Arabidopsis thaliana: one gene and its partners. The protein of the gene in region 1 interacts with the protein of each later gene in a pairwise test. Each region holds a gene or a part of one and is shown on either strand. Other genes may lie near its edges.

What was found.
Region 2: the proteins of RIN4 (region 1) and NDR1 interact in a two-hybrid assay, tested with the Arabidopsis thaliana proteins (one study listed by BioGRID).
Region 3: the proteins of RIN4 (region 1) and HA1 interact in a two-hybrid assay, tested with the Arabidopsis thaliana proteins (one study listed by BioGRID).
Region 4: the proteins of RIN4 (region 1) and RPM1 interact in a two-hybrid assay, tested with the Arabidopsis thaliana proteins (2 studies listed by BioGRID).

The regions. Positions count from the first base shown.
Region 1 is NC_003074.8:9,130,159-9,134,628, forward strand, and holds RIN4 (RPM1 interacting protein 4), read left to right. Parts: upstream 1-1,979; 5' UTR 1,980-2,299; coding exon of another isoform or gene 2,300-2,305; 5' UTR 2,306-2,732; coding exon 2,733-3,194; intron 3,195-3,272; coding exon 3,273-3,455; intron 3,456-3,559; coding exon 3,560-3,589; 3' UTR 3,590-3,930; downstream 3,931-4,470. Other genes in the region: AT3G25060 (Tetratricopeptide repeat (TPR)-like superfamily protein), read left to right, coding at 1-163.
Region 2 is NC_003074.8:7,192,969-7,196,272, forward strand, and holds NDR1 (Late embryogenesis abundant (LEA) hydroxyproline-rich glycoprotein family), read left to right. Parts: upstream 1-1,802; 5' UTR 1,803-1,908; coding exon 1,909-2,568; 3' UTR 2,569-2,801; downstream 2,802-3,304.
Region 3 is NC_003071.7:8,219,531-8,227,513, forward strand, and holds the start of HA1 (H[+]-ATPase 1), read left to right. Parts: upstream 1-1,983; 5' UTR 1,984-2,327; coding exon 2,328-2,369; intron 2,370-2,622; exon of another isoform or gene 2,623-3,647; coding exon 3,648-3,767; intron 3,768-3,860; coding exon 3,861-4,097; intron 4,098-4,181; coding exon 4,182-4,943; intron 4,944-5,038; coding exon 5,039-5,161; intron 5,162-5,239; coding exon 5,240-5,344; intron 5,345-5,435; coding exon 5,436-5,580; intron 5,581-5,669; coding exon 5,670-5,834; intron 5,835-5,926; coding exon 5,927-6,165; intron 6,166-6,259; coding exon 6,260-6,292; intron 6,293-6,382; coding exon 6,383-6,464; intron 6,465-6,551; coding exon 6,552-6,712; intron 6,713-6,841; coding exon 6,842-7,015; intron 7,016-7,099; coding exon 7,100-7,282; intron 7,283-7,368; coding exon 7,369-7,550; intron 7,551-7,641; coding exon 7,642-7,738; 3' UTR 7,739-7,983. UniProt on the Arabidopsis thaliana protein: The plasma membrane H(+) ATPase of plants and fungi generates a proton gradient that drives the active transport of nutrients by H(+)-symport. The resulting external acidification and/or internal alkinization may mediate growth responses.
Region 4 is NC_003074.8:2,225,335-2,231,411, reverse strand, and holds RPM1 (NB-ARC domain-containing disease resistance protein), read left to right. Parts: upstream 1-1,856; 5' UTR 1,857-2,387; coding exon 2,388-5,168; 3' UTR 5,169-5,557; downstream 5,558-6,077. Other genes in the region: NSN1 (GTP-binding family protein), read left to right, coding at 1-93, 192-406, 501-765, 878-1,057, 1,159-1,370, 1,466-1,810.

The DNA of each region.
Region 1 (4,470 bases):
TGGGGCCATGGAGAAGGTACCAGGCTACAGCGCGATCGAAGTAAATGGGGAGCTTCGAACTTTTCTCATGGAAGATCTGAGTCACCATGAACATTATCACATGTTGCAAGTGTTGAGGAACTTGAAAACTGAGATAAGAGATGTATGTTCCGGAGTCGAATAGTTCTGTCTCTATGAGCATCCATTCTTATTTCAGTATGTATATATACATCCATTTCTGACTCATGTGGCCCTATTTTGGAGTGAGGTTTTAGTCAAAAACTCTAACAATACATTCCACGCGTTGAACAAGAAAACCAAACCGGGTCAATTTCAATTTTAGTGAGAAGAAAATACCAAGAGGTTCTTGGTCCCTTTGAGAAAAGCAGAGTACCAAAGTGCAAATTCAAGTTAATTGACAAATGTGAAAGAGACTTAAGAATTGAGACTTATTAAAGAGACTAAGAGAGTGATAAACCCCTTAAATAATGTATTGAGAAACCCTTACCTTTGTGGCTTTGTGACACTGGTTTGTATGGTTGTGGCGGACAAATTCGTTTGCGGATTGAACCATTTTATATATTATAGTCCGTAAGAGTATGGATTGAGACAAATAGAAGAAATCCGTCGTGGACCAATTTATATAAAATAAACTTGATTTGGGGTGGATTGTTGTATGTCCCAAAAATAGAGTAACGCTCCAAAACTAAATAACACCAAAAGAATTAAGAATGCACACGATCTCTTAGTTGTCTTTAGTCTTAACTAACCATATCACTTGACTACAAAAAATAAAAAGACACACTCACGTTGAGAAACTGATGAAGCTGAACGATCTGTCTTCTTTGATTTGATCTTTCTTATTTTTTCGTGAACAATCTCTAAAATATTCCCATTAAGGCATTAACCATGTGAAAACACTTGTACGTGTGGACTATATAGTTCACGTGTGTATGAGTACGGGAGCATTGAATAATTATCGCTACGGCAACCACAAATAAATTGATGTGAACAACGCTGAATACTTTCCATTTTTCAACTTTGTCTAGTAAAAAATTACTAAAATAATGTTCCAATTATGGTTTTTAGTGAACATCTTATTGTCATTGGTGATTCGATAATAGATGCTACGAGACATGTTATTTGTTCTTGGAAGAAAGAGGTACGTAAATTCTCAAAAGGGTCTTTCAGTGTAAAGAGGCAGCTTTGACTTTGCTAACACAAAAAGTCTCCATATGATTATTTTCTTTTTCTTTTCAGAAGTTAATATTCTCAATTTCTCATAAACATTTTCAATTCTTTCTTTTGTTATTGGTTGAATAATTTTGTTGAGTTTTATAAATGATGTTTTAATGTGAAAACCAAGAAACAATTGATCATTTAATTAGTTTCTTGATTAGTGTGCTAAAACCTTAAACATCAACTAAGATCAAAAAGAGATTAGGTAGTTGTGGTCAACCACCTTTGATGATAACTTTCTCATTTCTAGTTTTCTAACTATTTTGTTCATACTGCCTTTTTTTTTTCCTTGTACTCGTAGAACACTTTTTATTTACTTACTATCACTTTGTAGTACTCTTCACAAAACACTTTTAAGTTTTCTCTAAAAAAAACTATGAGTGTAAATAATAAAAGTATACGTACTAGCGTTAAATGGCGATATTTGTAAAAATAGTTATTGTACTATTTGTATCACAAAAATTGCAAGTAGTTGATTCAAATGGTAACCTATCTATAGACGAATTGGTACCAATCGTCACCAAAAGAAATTTCAGTTATTACTACTCATTAATCCGCTAAAATCCAAGATCAATAATTCACTAAATTCTGCTATAACATTGTAACATTGTTGCTATCAATAATCAAATTATTCTATTAGCATATAATTATTAGATCCACAAAACTTATCTACTAGAGCAGAAGATTCCACCAAAAGTTGCTTCCGACCCACATATCCAATTCTTTAGGACAAAAATATTTATTACAATCTTTTAAGAGGAAAACAATGTAACATGGACACCAAAATAAAGCCGCCTTTAACGGTGACGGTAACGGTAACGGCGTTTGAGTGCTCTTGACAATACATGAAAATTTAGTAATAGAGTTAAGAAATGAAATTAATAGAGTTTGGAGTGAGACAAAGAGAGAAGAGAAGATTAGAGAGAGGAGAGGAAGGGTCAAAGAATACATAGCATCACCACTAGTCAACGCTTTTATAAAACTTCTTCTTCGTCTCCTCTCCTTCTCACATCTCTCTCTGTCTTTCTCTCTCAAACCTAACAAAAGCTTCAGACTTCAATTCTTTAGCTACCTCTCTCCCATGGCAGTAAGTGTTTTCTTTCCTTCTTTCCTTCTCCTCTTCTTCTTATTTAGGTCTAGAGCTTTCTCTCAGATTATAGTTTTTGTTTCGATTCCGTCAATCTCTGACCCTTTTTTTGGAGGATTTGTAGAAAGTTGAGTCTTAATCTATTTGCATTTATGGTTCTTCCTATTGAGATAACATTTCTATGGATTGCGATGTCTATTAGTATTCAACTTTATGATTCTGATTTGCTTTAGATAAGAAAAGGGTTTTATGAAAGTTACTATTTTTATGGTAAAGTTTCTATTTTTGCTTAGCAAAGATTTCAACTTTATCATTGTACTTGGTCGAAATCGATAAACCCAATTTGTATTTGTTCTGTTTTGGATTCTTAAGTGAATTTGCTATCTTGTTTCTGTGATGATTGTTCTTTAGGATGTTATGTTATTGAATGTTTTGTGGAAGGACATTGTTGTTGAATTGTTTGTTGCAACAGCGTTCGAATGTACCAAAATTTGGAAACTGGGAAGCTGAGGAGAATGTTCCTTACACAGCTTACTTTGACAAAGCTCGTAAGACTCGAGCACCCGGTAGCAAGATCATGAACCCGAATGACCCGGAGTATAACTCTGACTCTCAATCACAAGCTCCTCCTCATCCTCCTTCTTCCAGAACCAAACCTGAGCAAGTTGACACGGTTAGAAGATCACGTGAGCATATGAGAAGCCGAGAAGAGAGCGAGTTGAAACAGTTTGGTGATGCTGGTGGTTCATCAAATGAAGCTGCTAACAAAAGACAAGGAAGAGCTTCTCAGAACAATAGTTATGACAACAAGTCACCTTTGCATAAGAATTCTTATGATGGTACTGGAAAATCTAGGCCTAAACCTACCAACCTTAGAGCTGATGAAAGTGTAAGAATCTCACTTTTAACCTCTAAAGTGAGAATATCTCTGTTTGTTGCTTATGTGTTGTCATCTGTTTATATATAGCCTGAAAAAGTCACAGTGGTGCCTAAATTCGGTGACTGGGACGAGAACAACCCGTCATCAGCTGACGGATACACGCATATCTTCAATAAAGTCCGTGAAGAGAGAAGTTCTGGAGCAAATGTGAGTGGATCTTCAAGAACGCCGACTCATCAAAGCTCCCGTAACCCGAACAACACTTCCTCAGTAAGACATTCTTTAAAACTCATTTTCAAGTATAATCATTAGTGAATACGTATTCAAATAGTGAGTGTGTGTTGAACATTGGTTTGTCTTGTGCAATTTGACAGTGTTGCTGCTTTGGCTTTGGAGGAAAATGAAAGGGACCGGAAGATTGTATATAGTTATCGAGAAATCAGTGTGTAATCTTGATGATTAGACATTCGTGCTTCTTTAGATGAAATAAGGCATAAGTCTCACTTGCATAAGATTTTTATAGTATAATTTTTGTATGTATATTTTGCAATTCTTCCTTAATACTTTTGGTGTTTTCATAAGACACATTCCAGTTTCGGATCTGCTTGCAGATGCATTATATCTTGCTTGGTACGGCCTGAGTGATTTGGTAACTGATTTGATATGAATCAGAGATATTTGGGTACCTCCAAGTTTGTTGTTTCTAATGTTCAAAGCCTTAACTCTGCACCACTATAAAGAAAGACCCATAACTTTTTATATAAAATCAAGATTAAGATCTTTGGAGGATGATGACTCGTATGGTCCATATGATATGGACATCAAAGAAGAACGAATTGACACTTGTTTCCTATATGGCTTTGTACAGTGTAATCAGGTTTGATTCTCCAGCTTTATGTACTTACTATTTCAGCATTCTCTATGCCCAATAATTAGACTTAAATGCAATCTTTTTAAACCCGACCTGGATGGTGAACTAGACTACTTTTTAGGTCACGGGGTCAATGGATCAACCGGATTCGACCACGGATCAATTGATTAAAATTTATTTAATATTATAGAAATTATTAGTTTGTATAAATATAAATATAAAAATAATTATACCATGGTCTAACAATAATAATAAAGTAATTAAATATTTAAATCTAACTAAAAGTCTAAAATAGTAACATATACTAAAATAGTAGGAGTAATGACGAAAATAAAATAATAAAACATCGCGAATTCAAAACAACTAATCTCGGTTGTCTCTATCACCATTCCATTCGTTTTTTTAGGCGGTATT
Region 2 (3,304 bases), 1.9 Mb from region 1:
GCTCCATAGAAGAAGGTTCGATATTTGGGGTAGTTATCTTAACTTTCAAGATCGATACTAACCAATTGAATATTGTATTGTTAACTGTGCAAAATATTTTAGTACGACTTTGCGAGTCAGTTTAGTCTGTTAAAAATTATTTTGTTTGGGTCATAAAAACTATCTATATCTTTGCATGAAACAGCACTACAGTCTACATCAGATTTATAATTTAAAAAGACGCGGTAGTATTTTAAAACATTTTGTTTCGTTTATTCATTTATTGTGAAAGTTGACATCGATTACATCAAACAATAATCTTTTCTAGATCATTTTCCTAACGAATCTATTCAGTGAACCATGTGACACAATTTACATTGGTTGGTAGTAATATAAGAATTTCACATGTGGTATATTATAAAATAATTTTAGTTTCACATAATTTTAATCAAAGAAATTTAATTTGATATGTTTAATATTAATAATGTTAAAAATATAAAATAAATATTAAAGCTTAGAGTTAATAATATTTTAAACTTTTACTATAGTTGACACTTTTAAAAATCTAATATAAACTATACCTGGTAAAACTAAATAGTTTAACTAAAAAATGAATCAAACAATATAAGAGATATTCAAAGCAGTTTAACAATATCTAGTCTTAGATTTACTCATGCGGATTCCAGAATAATTTGGATACTAGTTCTCTGTTTCAGTTCAGAGTTATTGCATTTTCATAAATAAAGCGAATATGAATTTAGTTTTATCAATCTAGTAGATTTTCAGTTTTTTATTTATCAAACAATTATTTCAGTTTCTTTTTTCAGGTTTTATCAATCTAGTAGATTTTCAGTTTTTTGTTTATCAAACAATTATTTCAGTTTCTTTTTTCAGTTTATGTTCGATAACAATGTTTTAGATATACGATAATCAAGTAGTTCGAATTACCTTGACATTTCTAGATTGAATTTTCCAAACAAAGTTTACATATATATATATATATATATATATAGCGGATTGCTCATTGCCATTGGTTGTGAAATCAAGAATTAATGTGGATGGTAAGATGTAAACTTCTTACAAAAAGTCTATTTAGGAGAACGAAAACGTGTGAAGGTCTTGTTTTCCTAAGGTTTCGTTTTGGGTCTCTTTTATTTTGTACCTTGTAATTCTCTTGGCCCTTTAGCCAACTAAGCACATTTTGGGATTGAATATATATTTAAAAAAATATATATATATATATATATATTAAGAAAATTACTTTTGAAATTTGTATTTTGATTAGTGTTGCTAATTATGGTTTAAGCATGAGAGTCCATCCAATTCGACCCGAGTCCTATATACAGTATGGTTCAGCAAAAGGGTTTGGGCCTGGCCATAGTTTTTTATGGCAACAAGCTATATGAAACCATATATAATAAATACAATTTCGTATTTTGATACAGTCAGTATGAGACTAGAAAAACTAGCCACTAGGCCACTGACCAAAAAATAAAATAAGAAAAAAACTAATCTTTATCTCACCATATTTTTAGATCTTTGAAATTCCAAAAACATAATTAGAGTTTCTCTTTCCTTAGTTTCTTGTGTAGTTTGTATGTTTCAGTAGGGTTTTTTTCCTTATTTTATGTAAATAAATGGAATAAGATTCAGTTTTCTGTTATGGGACATCCCTCGTTAATTCTTGTTTTGGTTCTTTTTGATAACCCAAAGTTTATATAGGTTTTTTTTTAATTTATCTTCTTACGTCCATTAATTTGTTTTTGTTTTGTTATGTATTTGGCTAAACGCGTGTGTGCGTGTGTGTCCTACTGAGTCGTCTCTTTTGAGTCAACTTGAAATATCAACCAATCAGCAAACCAAAATCTTATAACATCATCTTCTTCATCTTTCCGACAAAAATACCAAATTCTTGAAAACAAAAAAAAAATGAATAATCAAAATGAAGACACAGAAGGTGGTCGAAACTGTTGTACTTGCTGCTTAAGCTTCATCTTCACAGCTGGTCTCACCTCTCTTTTCTTATGGCTTAGTCTCCGTGCGGACAAACCCAAATGCTCAATCCAAAACTTTTTCATTCCTGCCCTCGGAAAAGACCCAAATTCACGAGACAATACCACTCTAAATTTCATGGTTCGTTGTGACAATCCGAATAAAGACAAAGGAATCTACTACGACGATGTCCACCTTAATTTTTCCACCATCAACACGACCAAGATCAATTCATCTGCTCTTGTCTTAGTTGGTAACTACACAGTGCCTAAGTTCTATCAAGGACACAAGAAGAAGGCCAAGAAGTGGGGTCAAGTAAAGCCGCTAAACAACCAGACGGTTTTACGAGCGGTTTTGCCTAATGGATCGGCTGTTTTCAGGTTGGATCTCAAGACTCAAGTTAGATTCAAGATTGTTTTTTGGAAAACTAAGAGGTATGGGGTTGAAGTTGGAGCTGATGTTGAAGTCAACGGTGATGGAGTTAAAGCTCAGAAGAAAGGAATTAAGATGAAGAAATCTGATTCTTCTTTTCCATTAAGAAGCTCTTTTCCGATTAGTGTTTTGATGAATTTACTCGTATTCTTTGCTATTCGTTAACTTCATTAATGGTGTTGATTTTCAGGTTTTTCATTTCTTGGTTTTGTTGATTTTGATTATTGACTATTTCATGAGTTTTGTTGTGATCCTTAGTTCCATTTTCTTCATTGCATAATTTATCCCTTATTTTTTTTGTTTTAACTATGTATTAGTTTCCATCAACAAAATTCTATTTGAAAATCATTTTATCCATTTTTTATATGTACAAGAAACAATTATATGTTGGGTTTCAAATCAAGGAACAAAGAAACATAACATATATACCACCAAAAAGAAGTACATAATTATATAACAGTGAATATAACCGTTCAAATGGGGAAAAGAAACTTATAAAAACTCCATAAATGAATAATCTAAAAGGACCATTAGTTTATGATTTTTAAGCAATTATTCCAAATAAAATTACTAAATTCTATATTTATTGCAATAACAAATAAATTTGATTACTACTCTATCACAGAATTGAAACCGTCCCTAAACCATTGATATATTTTTATAAAATTGATCGACAAATAAGTCAACAAAAATGACATGATTCATAGAAGAAGGTTGGATATTCGATAATAAAAAAATTTGGGGTTGTTATTTTTCTTGTCCGTACGACAATATCTTAACGTTCAAGTTCAATAATTAACCAACCACATATTGTAGAATATAAAGTAATTAAGTGTGCTAGATATTTAATTTAAGTATGACTTTGCCTTGAGAATAGTCGCTAGTTGTTCTATTACATATC
Region 3 (7,983 bases), on another chromosome or scaffold:
TTGCTAATTAACTCAGCTAAAAATGTTTCAAAAAATAGATCTGATTATTTGGATGTTGGTTTTATATTTCCTTGTTATAAAAACAAAGAATATGACGAATAAATTTAACTTTTTGAAATCCTAAAAAAAAAAGCATACACATTTAAATAAATACTTTTATGTATTTACCTATGAAAGTTAAATTGATTTTGTCTATCAGATACATAAATGATCAAATAATAAATGAGAAAAACCTGCCCATATGTGCCGATATATATCCAGTTGAATTAAACCATCATCTTCTTGTTTCTTTGTTTTTAAAATTCTCTTATGAAATCGATCTTTTAGATAAAATACAATCGAATTTATGGAAGCAAGAAAAAAAAATTACGTAGGGGAGGTGTATTATTGGGGGACCCAGCACGATCAAAAAGTCAATATTCATCAGCCAATTTGCTGAATAAATAAATAAATAACCTTGAAAACAATTTTTGGTTAAATTACAAAAATAATGATATCCACAAACATGTGAATTGTTCCAGCAATTGCTGACCTTGCCATGAGGCACCTTGGAAGAGCCATTGCTTCATTACAATCCTTTAAAGCCATAAATATGAGATTAGGATTACCAAAATTTCACATATAACAAATTGTTTTATATCATTACTAGCTTAATATGTGTTTTATTATAGTTTTAGATCGACGTCATCTGAATATTTTCCCCCAAACTCCTAAATTTTATAATCTGTGTCTAAACCTAATTTTATATTTCAAAACATCCCTTTTTCTGGAAGAAACTTGTCTTTTAATTTTTTTTTTTTTTTTCACACTTGTCTTTTAATTTCCTTAAGAGACCAAATCAAGTTAATTTAGTGTACTCACCACCTTTAAAACAGGTCAAGTTAATTTATTTGAACATCAGTAATAAATTTATGAACATCTCTTTTCAACATCGGTATTCTTAAATAGTGTTTTAGAATCGTCATTTTAACTTTATGTTTCACTAAACTTAGAAAATATTTAGTTTTTTTTATCTCAATTAGTAATTATCATTTAAATTTTTATTTTCTCGGTTTCTACTTCGCCACTATTATTTAACATATTATTAAACAAATTAGTATTATACGGGTTGATTTTAATTTTCCAATTACAAATTAATTAAAATTCAACTTTTTGATTGGTTGTATAATCCGAAGGAAAAATGTTTACATACGAATTGTTTTAAAAACACTTTGATTTAAAAGTCCGACCTAAACAATCAACATGAAAATTAAACTTATGAGCAAATTAGGTTGATCTAGAAAATAACTTTTGCATTTGTCTCATAGGGAATTATAAAGTTAGTATCTACACACATATATCAAATATACATGTTATATCTATATTACTCTCTCTCTCTCTCTCTCTCTCTCTCTATATATATATATATATATATATATGTATATTCACAAATCCATGTATGTATTTTAAATTTTGTTTGTTTTTTTTTTCCTTCAAAATGAGTAACTTATATAGAAGTCATTAAGATTAGCTTTGCACAACTCTTTGGGAACAAAAAAGAACCCAAATTTTAAGCATTATTCAATGTTCATATAATTATTATGTATATTATTTTTCCTTATTGATTATCAATTTTATATACACAAAAAGATATCAGTGAAGAACTTATGATTGTGCATATTTTCTGTCCATACATAACCACAATATTAATCAAAAATTTAAATTTATCTTAGATATTTTTCTTATGATAATTCAATACTGTATAATTTTTTAAAATCTATACATTACAGTTTTGTCTTTTAAATCATATTCTAATATGCATAAATATCTAGAAAAATACTAACTCCATAGAATTAAATTTCTTATGTAAGTTTAGTATATTATCCTAAATTTGTGTTAATGTTAAGATTTCTACTAAATTTGATACTCAAAAGTAAAAAGTTTCTCTTAATAGAAAAAAATAAATATAGATTCTCTTACATTACAGGATCAGAGTATAAAACCAGTTTAAGTAAACAATGTTTCAAAAAACAGTATGATATCTGAAATTTTAATTATAAAACCAAAAATCCAAAGTCAAATATACGTTTTCCAAGTGAGAAAGGACCCATAAACAATTAACAACCATTGATGATCACCAAATCATAATCAACGGTCGAAATGAATGAAAAATAAAAGTCTGAAACGGTGGAGAGTTTCGTCGTTTTGAGTGGTTATAAAAAGAGAAGGCGTATATCTCCTCTGCAACAGAAGCTCGCTTTCTCTCTCTCTCTCTCGTGTGTGTGTGTGTGATCGAGTGGTGAAACGACAGAGAGGGGCGTCGTTTTGTTGATTTCTTCTGGGTGAAGATGTCAGGTCTCGAAGATATCAAGAACGAGACCGTTGATCTGGTATTATTTCGATTCTCTTCTCGCTTAAATTCTTCGAGTTTTTAATTTCATTTTTAGTGTTTATTCATCATGCCCACAAAGTGTTCGATGATTTGCTTGAATGAGAAATAGATCTGTTTCGTTGTTGTTCCTTGCATGGTTTCACGTTTGATTCTTTTACCCTTTTTTCTTCAAATCATTTTCCGATGATTCTACTCCTTTTTTCTTTGATCGAAAACTGAATCTTAATTCCTCAAGAACCCGAAAAATCCGCAAAAAAAAAAAAAACCGATTTTTCCCCCCAATTGTATCTGCCTCATTTTCGATGATTCTATCATGGATCCTATACAAAACCCAAATCAAGATTCCAACTTTATTAATTTTGGTCTAAAATTAGGGTAAAATAACAGATGTCTTTTAAAGGTTTTAGGTATTAAGCCAAAAATAAGTAGATTTTGATACTGTTCATCAGAAAAAGTAGATCTACCCAAAAACTACACACATGTGAAACGCTGAATAAAAAGATAAGTCTTTTTAGTGGTGGAGCTAAGCTTAAGCTACGTCTCAACAAAAGTCTCTTTCACATATTTATTAAAAGAGAAAAAAATCGCAAAAAGTTTGATTTTGCTTGTGATATATAACTTTCTTTCTCTAAAAAAAATCATCTTTTTTTTGTAAAGATAACGTTTTTGATGTTAAAGCAGTTCATAATATTCTTCTATCTTCCACCCATGAAAAATACCAGAGTTTTTAATAAATTTAAGTTTTCAACTTTTTTTTAAATTGTTGTTGATGTTCGAATTTTTTTGATGTACCTTTCCGTAGTACGTTTTTTTTTTTTTTGAACTTCTTTGTCCTTTTGTAAAACATCTATCAGTAGAAGCAACTTGTGAATTCCTCTATTGTAATTGATTTTGTTTAGTGAAATTGTTTTATGACCGAAATACCCTTAACCGGACTTTGGCTTTCACGCCGGAAAGTAGCCACCTTTCATGGAGGGAATCCCGCAGGCGCGTGTGTTACACGTTCCATAACACGTGCATTGAAGTAGTAGTAGTAGTGGTGGTGGTGGTGGTGGTCCCTCTATCCTCCACTGCCAGATTCTTTTCACCTTTCATTGTCACAACTTGAGTCAACGCCACTCTTCATCTTCCGAGTCGCCGAGTTGGATCGTTTCTGACATTTGTAAAAAGATTTCAAAACTAGAAAAGTTTTTGTCTTTTTTACCCTTTTGTTCTTGTTTGATGTTTGAGTTACTATTGTTTGGGTTCTGATCAAAACTTTTGCTTTGATTCTCAGGAAAAAATTCCGATTGAGGAAGTTTTCCAGCAGCTAAAATGTACAAGGGAAGGATTGACAACGCAGGAAGGGGAAGACAGGATTGTGATATTTGGCCCCAACAAGCTCGAAGAGAAGAAGGTTTGAGTTTGACTTAGCATTGTTGTTTTATCATCATTGAAAGCTTTGGTTTTGTTTAACTCACGAGGTTGATCTTTCGTAAAAAAATATCAGGAAAGCAAAATTCTGAAGTTTCTGGGGTTCATGTGGAATCCGCTTTCATGGGTTATGGAAGCTGCAGCTCTCATGGCCATTGCTTTGGCTAATGGTGATAATCGACCTCCGGATTGGCAAGATTTTGTGGGTATTATCTGTCTGCTTGTTATCAACTCCACAATCAGTTTCATTGAAGAAAACAACGCCGGAAATGCTGCAGCTGCTCTCATGGCTGGTCTTGCTCCTAAAACCAAGGTAATATGTTGGTGGATGCTGTGACATTACTGTACAAGATATTTCGAGACTTCTAGAGAGCTTAACCTGTTTCTCTGTTTTCAGGTTCTTAGGGATGGAAAATGGAGTGAACAAGAGGCTGCTATCCTTGTCCCAGGTGATATTGTTAGCATTAAACTTGGAGACATTATCCCAGCCGATGCCCGTCTTCTTGAAGGAGATCCTTTAAAGGTTGATCAGTCTGCTCTAACTGGAGAGTCCCTTCCTGTGACCAAGCACCCTGGTCAAGAAGTTTTCTCTGGTTCAACTTGTAAACAAGGAGAAATCGAAGCGGTTGTTATAGCCACTGGAGTTCACACCTTCTTTGGTAAAGCTGCTCACCTTGTGGACAGCACTAACCAAGTTGGGCACTTCCAGAAAGTTCTTACATCCATTGGAAACTTCTGTATCTGTTCTATTGCTATTGGTATAGCGATTGAAATAGTCGTCATGTACCCTATCCAACACCGAAAGTACAGAGATGGAATTGACAATCTCTTGGTCCTCTTGATCGGTGGTATCCCCATTGCTATGCCCACGGTCTTGTCTGTGACTATGGCTATCGGGTCTCACAGGTTGTCTCAGCAAGGTGCTATCACCAAACGTATGACAGCCATTGAAGAAATGGCGGGAATGGATGTCCTTTGCAGTGACAAAACCGGGACACTAACCCTTAATAAATTGAGTGTGGATAAAAACTTGGTTGAGGTTTTCTGCAAGGGTGTGGAGAAAGATCAAGTTCTACTATTTGCAGCTATGGCTTCTAGGGTGGAGAACCAGGACGCTATTGATGCAGCCATGGTTGGAATGCTTGCTGATCCGAAAGAGGTATAACTCTAATCATTTTGAATTACTTCTTTAGTTTAGTGAAAGGTCGAGAAAACAAGTTCTTAATTTCTTATGTTTCACTTGGATTTTCATAGGCCCGAGCTGGAATCAGAGAGGTTCACTTCCTTCCATTCAACCCTGTGGATAAGAGAACTGCTTTGACTTACATCGACTCTGATGGTAACTGGCACAGAGTCAGCAAAGGTGCTCCCGAGCAGGTGATGAATCTTCAACTTTCTCCTAAAGATGTTGCGTTTTTCCTTTATTCTGTGTACTAATTCGATTCTCCCACACAGATCCTTGACCTTGCCAATGCCAGGCCTGACCTTAGGAAGAAGGTACTCTCTTGTATTGACAAGTACGCTGAGCGCGGTCTTAGGTCGTTGGCAGTAGCTCGTCAGGTACTTTTTTACAAGCAATTTTTACATTGGTCTTATTTGGGTTTTTTTTTTGGCCTGTAAATCAACTGTTTAATTGCATATTCCTTTTTAGGTGGTACCCGAGAAAACAAAAGAAAGCCCAGGTGGACCATGGGAATTTGTTGGCTTGTTGCCTCTTTTTGACCCTCCAAGACACGACAGTGCCGAAACCATTCGTAGGGCGTTGAATCTAGGTGTTAATGTGAAGATGATCACTGGTAACTATTCTTATTCATCATTTTTTTCCCATGAAATCCATGGTTATTTAGATGTTTTCCCCTAACTTGCGCTCTAACTACGTTGCCAGGTGATCAACTTGCTATTGGTAAGGAAACCGGTCGCAGGCTTGGAATGGGAACCAATATGTATCCATCTGCGGCTCTTCTCGGTACCGACAAGGACTCGAACATTGCATCCATCCCTGTTGAGGAGTTGATCGAGAAGGCTGATGGGTTTGCCGGCGTCTTTCCAGGTTATGCCTTGCTTTCAGTTTCAAACCTCATCACATGTTCATTATAAAGTTTTGTTATATTGATCCAAGGTTCTTATGGTTACTGATTGCAGAGCACAAATATGAAATTGTGAAAAAGCTGCAGGAGAGGAAGCACATTGTTGGTATGACCGGTGATGGTGTTAATGATGCACCCGCTTTGAAGAAAGCAGATATCGGTATTGCTGTGGCCGATGCTACAGATGCTGCTCGTGGTGCTTCAGATATCGTCCTCACGGAACCTGGGCTGAGTGTCATCATCAGTGCCGTTCTCACTAGCAGAGCTATCTTCCAGAGAATGAAGAACTACACCGTGCGTATTCTTAATCTCACTCTAATATATTATGCCCACCACTTGTGTTCGTTTGCGCTGGAAACTAATAATTTTAGTTTCCTGCTTGTGACAGATTTATGCAGTCTCAATCACAATCCGTATTGTGGTAAGTAGAAACCCGTTTTACAAATCTATCACTTGTTTAGCATGATTTTACTTTTTGTATACTGATCATATTGCGTTGTAACTCTTGCAGTTTGGTTTCATGCTTATTGCTTTGATATGGGAATTTGACTTCTCAGCGTTCATGGTTCTGATTATTGCCATCCTTAATGATGGTGAGCAAATAACATCCTACTTTTCTAGACAGCGTCCTCACTCGTTATCAGCTATATCTTATGGTATTATGTGTTACTACCTTTTAGGTACTATCATGACAATCTCAAAGGACAGAGTCAAGCCATCTCCCACACCTGATAGCTGGAAGCTCAAAGAAATTTTCGCCACTGGAATTGTGCTGGGAGGCTACCAAGCCATTATGAGTGTTATTTTCTTCTGGGCTGCTCACAAGACCGACTTTTTCTCGGTACATCATCAGTTTATTTTCATTTCTTTTCTCTTTTTTTTGGTACAGGTGCTTCAGGGACTATATAGATATATATGGCCAGGCCTTTTGCTCTGAGTCTTAAAAAATTGTCTCACCTTCGATTTGCAGGACAAGTTCGGTGTGAGGTCAATCAGGGACAATAACGATGAACTAATGGGTGCTGTGTATCTACAAGTTAGTATCATCAGTCAAGCTCTAATCTTTGTCACCAGGTCAAGGAGTTGGTCATTTGTCGAACGTCCTGGGGCGCTTCTGATGATTGCATTCGTCATTGCACAACTGGTAAGGACATCAAGCACACATATTTTCTGAACTTCGATTAGGTTAAAGAAACCCACTGAATTCATTCACTCCTTCCAAATGCAGGTTGCAACTTTGATCGCAGTGTATGCCGACTGGACATTTGCAAAGGTGAAGGGTATCGGTTGGGGATGGGCAGGTGTGATTTGGATTTACAGTATCGTAACATACTTCCCACAGGACATTTTGAAGTTTGCCATTCGGTATATCTTGAGTGGAAAGGCTTGGGCCAGCTTGTTTGACAACAGGGTACATACAAGTCTATCTACCACTATAGAGACCTCTTTTACAAGCTGATGGTAACATACTAATCACATCTTCTTCTATGTTAACAGACCGCTTTCACAACCAAGAAAGATTACGGTATTGGAGAAAGAGAAGCTCAATGGGCACAAGCTCAAAGGACATTGCACGGTCTGCAGCCAAAAGAAGATGTTAATATCTTCCCAGAGAAAGGAAGTTACAGAGAGCTGTCTGAGATCGCAGAGCAAGCCAAGAGAAGGGCCGAGATAGCTAGGTAAGTAGTGTGATTAAAACGAATCTCAACGGAAAGATGCCATTTGATAGAGGTTCTGATTGGTGAATGATTTAATATTATGTTGTGACAGGCTTAGGGAGCTTCACACATTGAAGGGACATGTGGAATCAGTCGCAAAGCTAAAGGGATTGGACATTGATACAGCAGGACATCACTACACTGTGTAGTTGGAGTTGCACAACAACACAAACATTTACCGAAAACCAACCCCATCATGACTCATCTTTTGTTTTGTCTTCACAAATCTCTCTTTAAAAGTCATTACAGTAGAGGGAAGAGAACTCTTGTGTATTGCCATAACTCTTCCAAAACTCTTTTTTCTTTTTGTTATTGTTAGTCATTGTTCTTAAAACTCCTACTCGATATGAGCTTTGCAAATTTGCCTTTGAAGAAACAAGGCCCTTTGCCTTTG
Region 4 (6,077 bases), 6.9 Mb from region 1:
GTGATCCTCTTGGCACTCGTTGTACTGACATGGAGAGGATGGTGATGCAAGCCGGTCCCAATAAGCATCTTGTGTTGCTGCTGAACAAGATTGGTAAGTTCATATATTCAGTCTTTACTCGTGGACGTAATAAGTTGTTTGTTTACTCTGGGTGGTGTAATTAATTTTTGTAACTGATTCACTCTCTCCAGATCTTGTTCCCCGAGAGGCTGCTGAGAAATGGCTTATGTACCTTAGGGAAGAATTTCCAGCTGTTGCCTTCAAGTGTAGCACCCAGGAACAGAGATCAAACTTGGGTTGGAAATCATCTAAGGCATCAAAACCAAGCAATATGTTGCAGACGAGTGATTGTCTTGGAGCAGACACTCTTATCAAATTGTTGAAGAACTACTCAAGAAGTCATGAGGTTGGTTCCATAGTTTAAACTTTAATCATCCTACCTTAGCATCAAGTTATATCATTCAGTTTCAATTAAATCTTCCTTTGTTGTTCTTTGGCAGTTAAAAAAATCTATCACAGTTGGTATTATTGGACTGCCTAATGTCGGCAAGAGTAGTCTTATTAACAGTCTGAAGAGAGCGCATGTTGTCAATGTTGGTGCCACTCCTGGACTGACTAGATCTCTGCAAGAGGTTCACTTGGACAAAAACGTGAAGTTGCTGGATTGTCCTGGAGTTGTGATGTTGAAATCATCAGGAAATGATGCTTCCATAGCTCTCCGAAATTGTAAAAGAATCGAGAAGTTGGATGACCCAGTTAGTCCAGGTAATTGGATATAAGCTCAAGATAGAATCACACTTATTTTTGTGCTTTGTCTTTTAAAGGTTATAATCTGAGTGACCTAACTTGGAAATCTTCTGCTTTGTGAAAAAAATAGTGAAGGAAATTCTCAAGCTTTGTCCTAAAGATATGCTGGTGACTCTCTACAAAATCCCGAGCTTCGAGGCAGTTGATGATTTCCTTTACAAAGTCGCCACTGTAAGGGGTAAACTTAAAAAGGGTGGTCTTGTGGATATTGATGCTGCTGCCAGAATTGTTTTGCATGACTGGAATGAAGGTGCGGATCTTTTTTTGTTCCTCGTAAACTTGAAGCGTAAAAGCATTTTTGAAAACCAGTTTCTTAACTCATCATTGTCTCTAATATGAATGGTTATGCAGGTAAAATCCCATACTATACAATGCCGCCAAAGAGGGACCAGGGTGGACATGCAGAGTCAAAGATTGTGACTGAGCTGGCCAAGGATTTCAACATCGATGAGGTTTACAGTGGTGAATCCTCTTTCATTGGGAGCTTGAAGACGGTTAACGAATTCAACCCTGTTATTATTCCTTCAAATGGTCCTCTCAATTTCGATGAAACTATGATCGAGGTTGGTAACTTCTCTCGTGATTCCATTTGCTTGTAAATGACTCGGTCTGGATTTAATCTTTGTTTATGATGATGTATCACAAAAAAAAAAAACAGGATGAGTCTAAGACGCAGACGGAAGAGGAGGCTGAGCATGAGAGTGATGATGATGAGTCAATGGGAGGGGAGGAGGAGGAAGAGGCAGGAAAGACGAAGGAGAAATCAGAGACGGGGAGGCAGAACGTGAAGCTATACGCAGCGGAAAGCATGTTGAATACAAAGAAACAGAAAGCAGAGAAGAAGAAGAGGAAGAAAGCAAAGAAAGCAGGAGCTGATGAGGAGGATCTGATGGACGGAGATTATGATTTCAAAGTGGATTATAGGAAGAACAAAGATGGAGAAGACGAAGAATTCCAGATTGATGCTAAAATCCCAATGGCTGGACTTTTGCCTGAAGAATGAGTGATTGGAAACCACAACGTTTTTTTTTTTTTTTTTTTTTGTATTTGGCGTTTATGAGTCGGTCGGTTAAACTTTCTGATATATGTGCTTCATGAACTAGTAGTAATACTGAAGCGATTTTGATTTCTTTAATTAACGTTTCTTCTATTCCAATTCTGCTTTGCTTAACAAATATCTTAAGAACATTCAAAAATCATTGAGGTAAGTGTACTTCTTCGCCCTTCAGAAGAAAGTAATAATCTTTTACCCTTTCAGTTTCAGGTAACGAATGACGAAAACAACACCCGAGTTCAGTACATCAGATTTCTCTGTCTCTCTCTTGGAACTTCCAAACTCGACCATATCCGTCAAATTGAATTCCAAGTTGCAAATGTGAAAGCAGTTTAAACCCGTGTTGACTTTAACGCAAGTAAAGGACGTTGACTTTGTTGAGGTCCTTAAGGATAATTGATCAAAATGTTATGTGGCAGGCATGTAAGGTGTGAACCGAAAGCTTGGCTTTGCTCAAATTCAGCAAGTTCACCAAGAGAAACTAAATCAGTGAAGGAAAAAAGGTTCAAGCGAGACTCTGAGGAAGATGGCTTCGGCTACTGTTGATTTTGGGATCGGACGGATTCTTAGTGTCCTGGAAAACGAGACCTTGTTATTGTCAGGAGTCCATGGTGAGATTGATAAAATGAAGAAGGAGTTGCTGATCATGAAGTCCTTTCTTGAGGATACTCATAAACATGGTGGAAATGGATCCACAACAACAACAACTCAACTCTTCCAAACTTTTGTGGCAAACACGAGAGATTTGGCTTACCAAATCGAAGACATTCTCGACGAGTTTGGCTATCACATCCACGGTTATCGTAGCTGCGCCAAAATTTGGCGTGCGTTTCATTTCCCGAGGTATATGTGGGCGAGGCACTCGATAGCTCAAAAGCTAGGAATGGTTAATGTCATGATTCAATCCATTTCTGATTCCATGAAAAGGTACTATCATTCAGAAAACTACCAAGCAGCATTATTACCGCCTATTGATGATGGCGATGCAAAGTGGGTGAACAACATCAGTGAGTCATCTCTTTTCTTTAGTGAAAATAGTCTTGTAGGGATTGATGCACCCAAGGGAAAGCTCATCGGACGGCTTCTAAGTCCCGAACCTCAGCGGATTGTTGTCGCGGTGGTTGGGATGGGCGGTTCAGGGAAAACTACACTCTCAGCGAATATCTTCAAGTCTCAAAGTGTGCGGAGGCATTTTGAGTCTTACGCTTGGGTTACAATCTCGAAATCTTATGTGATTGAAGATGTGTTTAGGACCATGATCAAGGAGTTTTACAAAGAAGCAGATACACAGATTCCAGCTGAATTATACTCCTTAGGCTACAGAGAGTTGGTGGAAAAACTTGTGGAGTATTTGCAGTCGAAGAGGTACATTGTTGTGCTTGATGATGTATGGACCACTGGTCTATGGAGGGAGATAAGTATTGCTTTACCAGATGGTATTTATGGAAGTCGTGTTATGATGACTACTCGGGACATGAACGTGGCTTCTTTCCCATATGGAATTGGGAGCACAAAGCACGAGATTGAGCTCTTAAAAGAAGACGAAGCTTGGGTGCTTTTCTCCAACAAAGCTTTTCCGGCAAGTCTTGAGCAATGCAGAACGCAGAATTTGGAGCCGATAGCACGAAAATTAGTCGAGAGATGTCAGGGTTTGCCATTAGCTATTGCTTCTTTGGGAAGCATGATGTCAACCAAGAAGTTTGAATCAGAATGGAAGAAAGTCTACAGTACTTTAAACTGGGAACTGAACAACAATCATGAACTCAAGATTGTTCGAAGCATTATGTTCCTTAGCTTCAATGATTTGCCATACCCGCTTAAACGTTGTTTCTTATATTGTTCTCTTTTCCCTGTGAACTATCGGATGAAAAGAAAGAGGCTCATTAGGATGTGGATGGCACAAAGGTTTGTGGAACCGATCAGAGGAGTGAAAGCAGAAGAAGTGGCTGATAGTTACCTCAATGAACTTGTTTACAGAAATATGCTTCAAGTTATCTTGTGGAATCCTTTTGGACGACCCAAGGCGTTCAAGATGCATGACGTGATATGGGAGATTGCTCTATCTGTATCCAAACTTGAGAGGTTCTGTGATGTATATAATGATGACAGTGATGGTGATGATGCTGCAGAAACAATGGAGAATTACGGTAGTCGCCATTTATGCATTCAGAAAGAGATGACACCTGATAGTATACGTGCAACAAACCTTCACTCTCTTTTGGTTTGCTCTTCTGCTAAACACAAGATGGAATTACTTCCAAGTCTGAACCTTCTGAGAGCCTTAGACCTTGAAGACTCTTCCATCAGCAAGTTACCAGATTGTTTAGTAACTATGTTCAACTTAAAGTACTTGAATTTGTCCAAGACACAGGTGAAAGAACTGCCAAAAAACTTCCATAAACTCGTCAATTTGGAGACGTTGAACACAAAGCACTCCAAGATTGAGGAACTTCCTCTAGGGATGTGGAAATTGAAGAAGTTGCGATATCTCATTACTTTTCGCCGCAATGAAGGACATGATTCCAATTGGAATTATGTTTTAGGTACAAGGGTTGTTCCTAAAATCTGGCAGTTGAAGGATTTGCAAGTCATGGACTGCTTCAACGCAGAAGATGAGCTTATCAAAAATCTCGGGTGTATGACTCAGCTCACAAGAATAAGTCTTGTCATGGTTAGGAGAGAACATGGAAGAGACTTGTGCGATTCACTGAATAAGATTAAAAGAATTCGATTCTTATCTTTAACGTCGATTGATGAAGAGGAACCGTTAGAGATAGATGACCTGATCGCAACTGCAAGCATTGAGAAGCTCTTTCTTGCTGGGAAACTGGAGAGAGTACCAAGTTGGTTCAACACTCTTCAAAACCTTACCTATTTGGGTTTGCGTGGATCTCAGCTACAGGAAAACGCCATTCTCTCTATCCAAACGCTTCCTAGATTGGTATGGCTTTCATTTTACAATGCATACATGGGACCTAGGTTGCGTTTTGCACAAGGATTTCAGAATCTGAAGATTCTAGAGATAGTTCAGATGAAACATCTGACAGAAGTTGTTATAGAAGACGGTGCAATGTTTGAGCTTCAGAAGCTTTATGTCAGGGCTTGTAGAGGGTTAGAGTACGTACCAAGAGGAATTGAGAATCTTATAAATCTTCAAGAACTGCATTTGATTCATGTTTCTAATCAGTTAGTAGAACGCATTCGCGGAGAAGGGAGTGTGGACCGGTCAAGGGTTAAACACATTCCTGCGATTAAGCATTATTTCAGAACTGATAATGGCTCTTTCTATGTGAGCCTCTCATCTTAGGCGGCCAAGGCAAGCTTCATCATACAAGATACTGCACACTGTACTGTGAAAATCAGGGATGGATATTCACATAACTACTAAACGCCATGAGCTTACCAAACAGATTGATTGTCATGTGTTGTCTTTGAAAGTCAACAATCAGGTCTTCTCTTCACTCAAAGACAACATTTTTTTGCTGGTCTCATGAGTCAGTGCTAATGACTAAACAGCTCACTTCACAGCAGTTTCCACTGTTTTTTTTCGAAATTCATTTAAGTAAGATTTAATATGGTCAGCTGATTGTTCTGTAATTCTGTGTAAACATTACTTTGTTAAGACCTTAATATTGTTGACATTGTTATTTGAGTATCGGCTTCAACCAAGAAATTCCACTACCGTGTTAGTCTTCTAAATGAAAGTGGCTCATTCACAATCCCAAAAGTTAGGACCTTTACACTAATCGAAATAACCAGATACAGTTGGACTAAATACTTAATACTACTCCAAAACATTCCATTTTAAATTTCTCCTTAACTGATGGAAAAGTTTTGAAATTTTGAAAAGAAGAAAGTAAAAAAAATCTTGTTATCAACGATCCGCGGCGGTTAAAACGGAGATTATTATTGATGGATGGATATCTGGTCATTCGTGTTATCCACGTGCAACTAACGCACGTAAAAGACATACTAACCTCCCCGAAAATCGGATCCGGATCCGAAAATATCTGACCCGTTTTGAAGCGGTTTGACGAAAGACCGTTTTGGGCCTAGTCAATAGTAAAAATTAAAAACTCAAGGCTCTTTGGTGTCCCTTGGTATTACTATCGGCCTTTCCCGATGCTCTTTCTTCTTCATCTTGAAACTCGCGATTCCTTCTTCTCCTTCTAGGGTTTATTACTAAGGGTTTCTCTATCCTTAAATCTCATCTCTG